Linked DNA regions of Oryctolagus cuniculus. Each later gene encodes a partner of the first gene's protein in a complex. Links are inferred from orthologs where the notes say so. Each region holds a gene or a part of one and is shown on either strand. Other genes may lie near its edges.

Evidence for each region. The genes of interacting proteins can lie anywhere in the genome.
Region 2: the proteins of GABARAPL1 (region 1) and NBR1 are in contact, whole or in part, in an NMR structure (PDB 2L8J), measured with the Homo sapiens proteins. The link is inferred for Oryctolagus cuniculus from reciprocal best matches to the Homo sapiens genes GABARAPL1 and NBR1. Residues at the interface, in NP_113600.1 of Homo sapiens: Glu12, Tyr13, Lys16, Glu17, Lys20, Ile21, Lys24, Tyr25, Arg28, Pro30, Lys48, Tyr49, Leu50, Val51, Pro52, Phe104; in NP_005890.2 of Homo sapiens: Ser729, Glu730, Asp731, Tyr732, Ile733, Ile734, Ile735, Leu736.

What each region holds. Positions count from the first base shown.
Region 1 is NC_091440.1:106,914,979-106,919,401, reverse strand, and holds the start of GABARAPL1 (gamma-aminobutyric acid receptor-associated protein-like 1), read right to left. Parts: upstream 2,844-4,423; 5' UTR 1,899-2,843; coding exon 1,809-1,898; intron 1-1,808. UniProt on the Homo sapiens protein: Ubiquitin-like modifier that increases cell-surface expression of kappa-type opioid receptor through facilitating anterograde intracellular trafficking of the receptor. Involved in formation of autophagosomal vacuoles.
Region 2 is NC_091448.1:19,820,356-19,824,002, reverse strand, and holds part of NBR1 (next to BRCA1 gene 1 protein), read left to right. Parts: intron 1-957; coding exon 958-1,146; intron 1,147-1,827; coding exon 1,828-1,905; intron 1,906-2,367; coding exon 2,368-2,582; intron 2,583-2,972; coding exon 2,973-3,137; intron 3,138-3,420; coding exon 3,421-3,630; intron 3,631-3,647. UniProt on the Homo sapiens protein: Ubiquitin-binding autophagy adapter that participates in different processes including host defense or intracellular homeostasis.

The DNA of each region.
Region 1 (4,423 bases):
TCCCAGGGGTGGTCTGAATGGCTTACTAGTTATCAGAAAGTAAGACATCCAACTCCAAACTGTAAGCACAGAAAGAACAAGAAGGATAAGCTGAAATATCCTGGGGGGCAGGGGGATGCACAGAAAGGGCTGAAAAGGGAAGCGCTGTTTTGAGAAAATACAGGAGAATGCTAACTAGGAGCAGGTGCATCTATATAAAGCTACCTGAACCTAGGCTCCCAGTCATTCTGCTTACTGCGTGCCCTGTCTGGCACCAGACTACCCTATGAATTCTTGAGGGTAGCAACAGTACATTTCCACTACTCAGCAGTGTGAGGTGCACAATGCCAGAACTGTATTAGAAATTAAACCAAACAGCACGGGAGGTTAAGGGCCAGAGTTGGAATCCAGGCTGTGCCATAGACTCGCAAGGTCAAGTCTTTAGGGAGTGACTTCATCTCTCTATGGTTCCAGTCTTCATCTATAGAGTGAGGATTGCAATGTGAGGATTAAGTGAATGACATTAGAGCCCTGAGAACGCGGCCTGCTGTGTGTAAGTCAGCAGTGAAAGCTAGCTGCCGTTTTTAAACCTCATTCCTCCAGAATCGCTAGATCTGGGAGAAACATTTACAACAAGCACCCTAGGTCCAGGAAGAGGCAGGTTCACACAGGGCGCTGGGTAACGATTAGCTCCCCTTTGTAGCCCAAAGCCACTGTGTACAAAATAGCTGAGGAATGGCAGGGCCAGAGAGTTTCCATTGCGGGGCTAGAGCCCAGATTGCTTCTGGCTGCAGTAAGAACATGAGAGTTACGGAAGAATTGGAGAATTCCCAAATAGTCCGTGTGAGTCAGGAGAGGCCACATCACATAATGGCAACTCTTGACATCTTATCCCACTTATCCTTATCCCACCGTCCCTGTCTGAAGATGGAAATAATCACAAACTCTGCGCCCCCATCTCCAAACACCCAAGGGCTGCAGCCCCTGGCCCGCGCACCCAAGTCATCCTGGGCTACGCAGCCTGCATTAGACAAGAGCCGGGCAAGTGGGCGGGGGAGGGGGCAACGGGAAAAACGCCCGGATGCTGAGAGATGGCTTCATGTTTCTTCCTCCTCGCTCCTGGCACCAGCTTTAGCGACGTGAGCCAGTGTCCAAATCCGAAAGAAAAAGTCCTCAGTCCCGCCTTATGGTGTCAGGCCCCATCGGATCACAATCAGCTCCAAGGGCAGGCCGGCCGCTCCCCGCCCCCCACGGGCCCCCGGGGCCGGGAACGCTGAGGCAGGCGGCTGTTGCGCAGAGAACGTGACCTTGCTTTCTGGGCCAGGCCCGTCTCGTGGCGTCCCCAGCCCTCCCCTCCCTAATTCTAAGAGAAATCAAGAAAGAACCTCCCAGGCCCAGAGCTCAGGAGGGCCAAAGCCAACTTGGGTAATTAAAGGCGAAGCATCCTCAGAGGCAAACCCCAAGGCATCAGTGGCTCCCATCACAATTCCGCTGCGTGCTTAACAGCGGCACGTCCACGGCCCGCATCCACACGCCCACACCGCGGGCAGACAAGCCCCACCGCGGGCCCACCTGCACCTGCACCTGCACCTGCACCTGCTCGAGCCCTCCATACTGCTGAGTCACCGCAGACAGGGGCTCTGCCGCCAGGAACCAGCGGCCTCCGCTAGGGCCGCGAGCCCCCCCCATCCCACCCCAGATCCGCAGGCCGAACGGCCCCGGGCGGGCGAGGCTCGCGGAGCCCCCTCTGCGCCGCAGGGCTGCCAGCCCGCCGCCCCGCACCCACGGGCCCCGACCCCCTCCATCCTCCCCGCCCCCACGACACTCACAGGGACCCTGTCCGGATACTTCTTCCGGATCTTTTCTCCTTCCTTTTTCCGATACTCAAAGGGATGGTCCTCCTTATACTGGAACTTCATGATGCACCGCAGGTTTTCCGAGACGCCCGGACGGGGCCTGCCTCCCTCGCGGACGATTGCGTCTCTCGCGCTTCGCTGCCCTCCGCCAACTTCTGGGGGTACCAGGATCGCTTCGGAAGCGTCCGCGCCCTCTGCCACGCCGCCTGGCCCAGCGCTCAGGACGGGCACCTCGGGGCCCCGGCCTGCAGGTGGGAAGCGGCCAGGTGAAGAGACCCGGGCGGCTGTGCCCAAGCGCAGGGAACACAAAAACACCCCAGCGGCGCGCAGGGGTTGTGACGTCACGAAGCCGCGCCCAGGCCCTCAGGCCCCGCCCCCGGCCCCGCCCCCGGCGCTCCGGACTCGGCGGAACCGAGGTGAACAGAAACCTTGTTTGTTTTTATTTATTTTGACCCTGCCTGATTTTTTTTTCCCGAGTGGAGCCCACTGCAAACCTGAAAGCGTTATACTTGGTATTCTACTGCGATTTGATATGAAAAACGGTTTTTAGTTAAGACAACGGGCTAAAGATGTCTCCATCCCCCTCCTTGGCGTCTCTTGGTTGGGACCCAAAACAAATACAAAGGGCTGCCCTCCAGCCTGGTCCCCCCTGCCTGGGACCGGGAGCCTGCGTGGGCCGGGGTCCCGCGCCTCCTGGGATGCCTTTTGCCCCTGCGGAAGGGGCGCGGAGTTGCGTTTTGCCCTCTGCGGGCTCCGCAGCCTTCCCGCTCCGCGTCGTCGGCGTCGTCCTGTTTTGGTCCCCGCCGCAGTCCGTCCTCAGAATGGCAGCGTCGGTCAGCAGGGCGTGACTCGGGCCCCAGTGCGGGGAGGTGGTGTTGGTGAGGGCTCCGAGGACTTCACGCTCGCGAACGGCTCGCTTTCCCCTGGGACCCCGGGAGCTGGGCCTCGTGGAGCCGTGGAGGCCCCTCACTCGGTGGAGCTCAGATGTTTGGGTTGTTGTTGTTTTTCTTTAATTCTGCAAAACCGCACGTGGAAAATAGATGCGCGGGGTACAATCGGCCCGGCGCGTGAACGGAAGGCACTGCCTCAGGTACCGGGTGCCATGAGGCATCTCTTGCCTCACGACCTCGGGACCCAAGACCTGCCCAGCCCTGCTCTGGCCGGGGATCCCTGGAGTCTGTAGGGAGAGGGCGGCAGAGATCGCAAAGAAGAGAGGGGAAGGGTTCCCTTGTGTTCCAGTCTGTGAGTTCTGAAAACTATTAGACAAGGGCTATCAGCGTCGCCTTCAAAAATCCCACAAAATGAAACTTTCATTATCGAAACAAGAAAACGAATTTCATAGTCCCGTTGGTCCCGTTGGTCTTGTTAATTCCTTTTTCCCATGGCATTTGTCAACTTTTTTTTAAAGATTTATTCAAAAAGCAAAGTGACAGAGGGAGAGAGAAAGAGCTTCTGCCTGCTGGTTCACTCCCAAATGGCCACACCAGCCCCGTCTGGGCCAAACCAAAGTCTGGAGCCAATAATTCCATCCAGGGGCCAGCGCTGTTGCGCAGCGGGTTAACACCCTGCCCCACAGTGCGCCAGCATCCCATATGGCCGCAGGTTTAAGACCCGGCTGTGGCACTTCCAATCCAGCTCTCTGCTAAGGCCTGGGAAAGTAGTAGAAGATGGTCCAAGTCCTTGGGCCCCTACACCCATGTGGGAGACCCGGAGGAAACTCCTGGCTCCTGGCTTGGGATCGGCACAGCTCCGGCCGTTGTAACCAATTAGGGAGTGAACCAGTGCATGGAAGACCTCTCTCACTCTCTGCTTCTCCGCTCTCTGATTCCATCCAGGTCTCCCTCTTGGATGACAGAGGCCCAAGAACTTGGGCAGGAAACGGGAAGGAAAGCAGAGCAGCCAGGACTCAAACCACTGCTCTGTTGGAGGGTGCCGGTATGGCAAGCTGCAGCTTAATAAGCCTCTGCCACAGTGGTAGCCTCTGTTCTTTTGTTAATATATGAAAATCCTCATATCATTTTATCACATTGTATATAATTTCCAGCCCTTATTTTCAAGTTGCAATTAGTTTAATTGCCACTCATTCATTTTAGCTTTGACTCAAACCTAGGTAAATCTTTTAGAGGACTGCTTTACATCCAGTTGAGAAAGGTAATTATGGTGGCAATTAAAATGCTAAGAGTGTTGTTGGGAACAATCGTAGCTAGTTGAAATGCTGATTTTAACCTTTATTTTAAAAATATCCAAGCACAAAGGCAACTTATACAATATGTAAAAACTAATTTGGAGATGAAATTTTGGTTAATCTTTCTGCCACAACTTTTCTAAAGGCCAATGCCTTATCTTAGAATACACAATCTGTCAGTTTCCAAAGTGTGTTCCTTACCTTTATTCTCAGCATGACATTTAAAATGTTATACGGAAGCTAATTTATAAATTAACACATTTAATAAAAACATTTCAGATTCCTCTTTTAACCAGAGAAAATGCCACTTTAAAAACTCACATTTGGGATGGGAGTTTTGGCACAGCTGGTTAAGCCACCACTTGGGATGCCTGTGTCCCATATCAGAGTGCCTGGGGTGGAC
Region 2 (3,647 bases), on another chromosome or scaffold:
TGTAATCAGTGGACTGGCTTTCTGTTTTTATGACATTTTTTGGAACACAACCATGACCATACTTTAATTAATGGCTTTCGGTGCTACAGTGGCAAAATTACAAAAGGGAAATGGTTTGCAAGCTAAAATACTTACTAAGTGGCTCCTTTAAGAAAAAAATTGATCTAGAATAATAGCTTTTATACTTTTTGTCCATGAAATGCCTTATGAGAAGAGTTCCTTATTTAAATTGTTTATGCTTAAGGGATACAATGTTTTGATATATATGTACATCGTGAAATGATTATTACAGCCAAGCTATTTAACATGTCCTATATTATCCTTAAATGGAATTCTATTTTTAAATGGAATCTTAAGAAGTGTAATGCATAAAACAGATAAAAGAACAGTTGTGAATAACAGTGAGTTGATGAAGGGAGCTAGAAACCCCATAGGGTTGGCCATTAGTCTTGGGCACTGGAGTACCTTCTTAGAATCCCAAATTCTCCTTGAAGTATAGTTTTTGAATTAGGAAGATACTATTCAAAAAAAAAAAAAAAAAAAAAAAACTTGAGCGTTTAAGGTTGCTTTTTAGTTTCTCCAGTTCTAATGGTCTGGGATTGACTTTTAGACCATTGAGATGGAAGTCCATGGATGGAATCTGATATAAAAATGTATTAAACAGGAAAGTAGTAACCCAGTTAATGCAAACATGTCACCTAGTAAATTTTCTGTGCTAATTACCTATTTTTGTGTTTTAATAATAAAACCATTTCTAGTTCAAATTTTTTTTTTCCAAAAAAAACCCAGCAGACTGGGTGTTCATGTTGTGTGTGATGTTTGGTTTGATATAATAAAGCAAATACAAATCATGATGTTTTCCAGCGTAATTTACCACTCTTCTGTTAGGCGTCTTTGAAATTATATTTGGAAAAAAAGAATCATCAAGTACGTTTTTGTTTCCTAACGCACTCTCAGATGGCAGTCAAGCAGGGAAATCAGCTGCAGATGCGAGTCCATGAAGGGCACCATGTTGTTGAGGAAGCCCCTCTTCCAGTGGCGGAAAAACGAGCTGCCCGAATGGGGAAGAAGCCACCTGCACATTGTTCTTCACTAGTGAGAGTCTTGGGATCAGACACAAAGAACTCAGAGGCTCCTGCAGCACAGGTATGAATGGATAGACTTCTCCATCCAATTTTCTTTTCTTTTTTTTTTTTCTTTAATTTTTTTTTTATTTTTTGACAGGCAGAGTTAGATAGTGGGAGAGAGAGAGAGAGAGAAAGGTCTTCCTTCTGTTGGTTCACCCCCCAAATGGCTGCTACGGCCGGCGCGCTGCGCCAATCTGAAGCCAGGAGCCAGGTGCTTCCTCCTGGTCTCCCGTGCGGGTGCAGGGCCCAAGAACCTGGGCCATCCTTCCCACTGCCTTCCCAGGCCACAACAGAGAGCTGGACTGGAAGAGGAGCAACCGGGACTAGAACCCAGGGTGCCAGCGCCACAGGCGGAGGGAGGATTAGCCTAGTGAGCTGCGGCACTGGCCTCCATCCAATTTTCTAATGTTATGTCTCATTGTCTTTGATCTAAGATTTGCATATTCATCAAAGATTTAGTAGTTATTATGACTATCCCAGTCTCTGACTTTGAGTCTGATAACAGAGGCTTAATTCTGGAGAACAGGGAGCCAGGTAGGACAGAAACTATGTTTTGTTTTTATATTCGTTCATTCTGTGACCCTTTTTTAACCATATGTTTGTATAACTTGATGAAGGAAACCTAAAAATAATATACTTCAGGACAGTTATACTAAATGGAAAAAAGAATCTACAAGATCTTGATTGCGTTTTCTTGCAGTTGTTTCCACTTGCTCCATGTGACACAGACCAGCCTCAAGACAAGCCCCCAGACTGGTTCACAAGCTACCTGGAGACCGTGAGTGTTCTCTCTGGTTGGGGTTTTAGCAGCACTGTTGGCACAGGTGGAATGTGAAACAAATAACCAAATCCAGGTGGTTGCTGCCTGTTGCTTATAAAATGAAGAGTGGCCGCTATTCACTTCCAAACTTAGAGTGGTTCAAGAAAGCCCTAACCTTTGTGATGAGGCACCAGGAAAAGAGGGATTTGGGTTCTAAGCATGTCAGGGAGAGAGAGAGATCTCCAGGCTTGAGATGTAGGATTTGCTCATCAGAAGGACTTCTTGGTCTCTTCTCGGAATCAGTTCACCTGGAGAAGGAGCTGCTTGCTACCTTTCTGTGTATTCATTCAGTGGCCATTAGTTGTTGATTGTGTTCTTAATGTTATACCAGAGATGGTGAGGTTTCAGATCTGTTGGTATCCTACATCTTTTCCCAACATTGGAACTGAGTTTGCCCCCACTTTCTGCTCTGCATTCTAGTTCAGAGAACAGGTCGTTAAAGAAACAGTCGAGAAGCTTGAACAGAGATTACATGAGAAACTTGTCCTCCAGAACCCATCCTTGGCTTCCTGTTCCTCAGAAGTCTCAATGCCTGTTTCAGAGGAAACAGTGTTTTTGCCAGAAAACCAGTTCAGCTGGCATATTGCTTGCAGCAGTTGCCAAAGAAGGATCATTGGTGTGCGCTACCAGTGTAGGTAAGCAGTCACTTGGGGTGGGATAGCTATTGGCAGACCTTAGAGCAGTGACTTCCTGGCATTCTGGGTAGCTGGAGGGAAATTGTAGGTATACTGTGTCTCTGAGCATTAGGTATAGTAGCTCCGAATTGGAACCACAGGCCACTGTGTGATTTAAGGGGTAACTACTCAGATTTTTGTGTTCAGATACACATTTGTATTAACAGAACTGAGTAAAACATCGTACTCCTCAGAACAAAATTAGACCATTTGTTCCAAATGCTTCCATATTTTATTCTTTCCAAAGATTGTCCTTGGAAATGGATATAGGACATAGAAGTCTGGTCCGATATCTCCCCTCCTCAAGTGTTTCCTATTCTGCAATTCTGTACTGCCATTCTTTCCCTACAGCCTCTGCCCATCCTATAACATCTGTGAAGACTGTGAAGCAGGATCATATGCCCATGACACTAACCACGTTCTGCTCAAGTTGAGGAGACCTATTGTGAGTTCCTCTGAACCATTCTCCCACTCAAAGTATTCTCCTCGTCTCCCAGCCGCCCTGGAACAAGTGAGGTAAAATGAGATGCTAATTGGCTTCTTGGTCCTGGGAACGTAAACCACTGGTGTAATGTGTAGTGTCACAGCACTGTAGGCAGTCTTCTCAGTTCTGCCCATCTTCATTGATGTACAATAAGAAGATAATTATCCAAAGGTAATGAAATGGAAAGGAGAACTGTAAAAGAAATGAGGAAACTAAAATAGAAGCTGACTTCAATGGCGACTGTAGTTGGCTCCAAATGGCTTCAAGATTTGTGAGGGCTCTTTGTTTTTTAAGACTTTGACTTCTATCTTACAGGCTTCAGAAACAGGTTGATAAGAACTTTCTTAAAGCAGAAAAGCAGAGGTTGCGAGCTGAGAAGAAACAGCGTAAAGCAGAAGTCAAGGAACTTAAAAAGCAGCTTAAACTCCACAGGAAGATTCATCTGTGGAATTCAATCCATGGACTGCAGAGCCCCAAGTCTCCTCTGGGCCGACCTGAGAGCTTGCTCCAGTCCCACACCTTGATGTAAGTCCAGGGCTGGG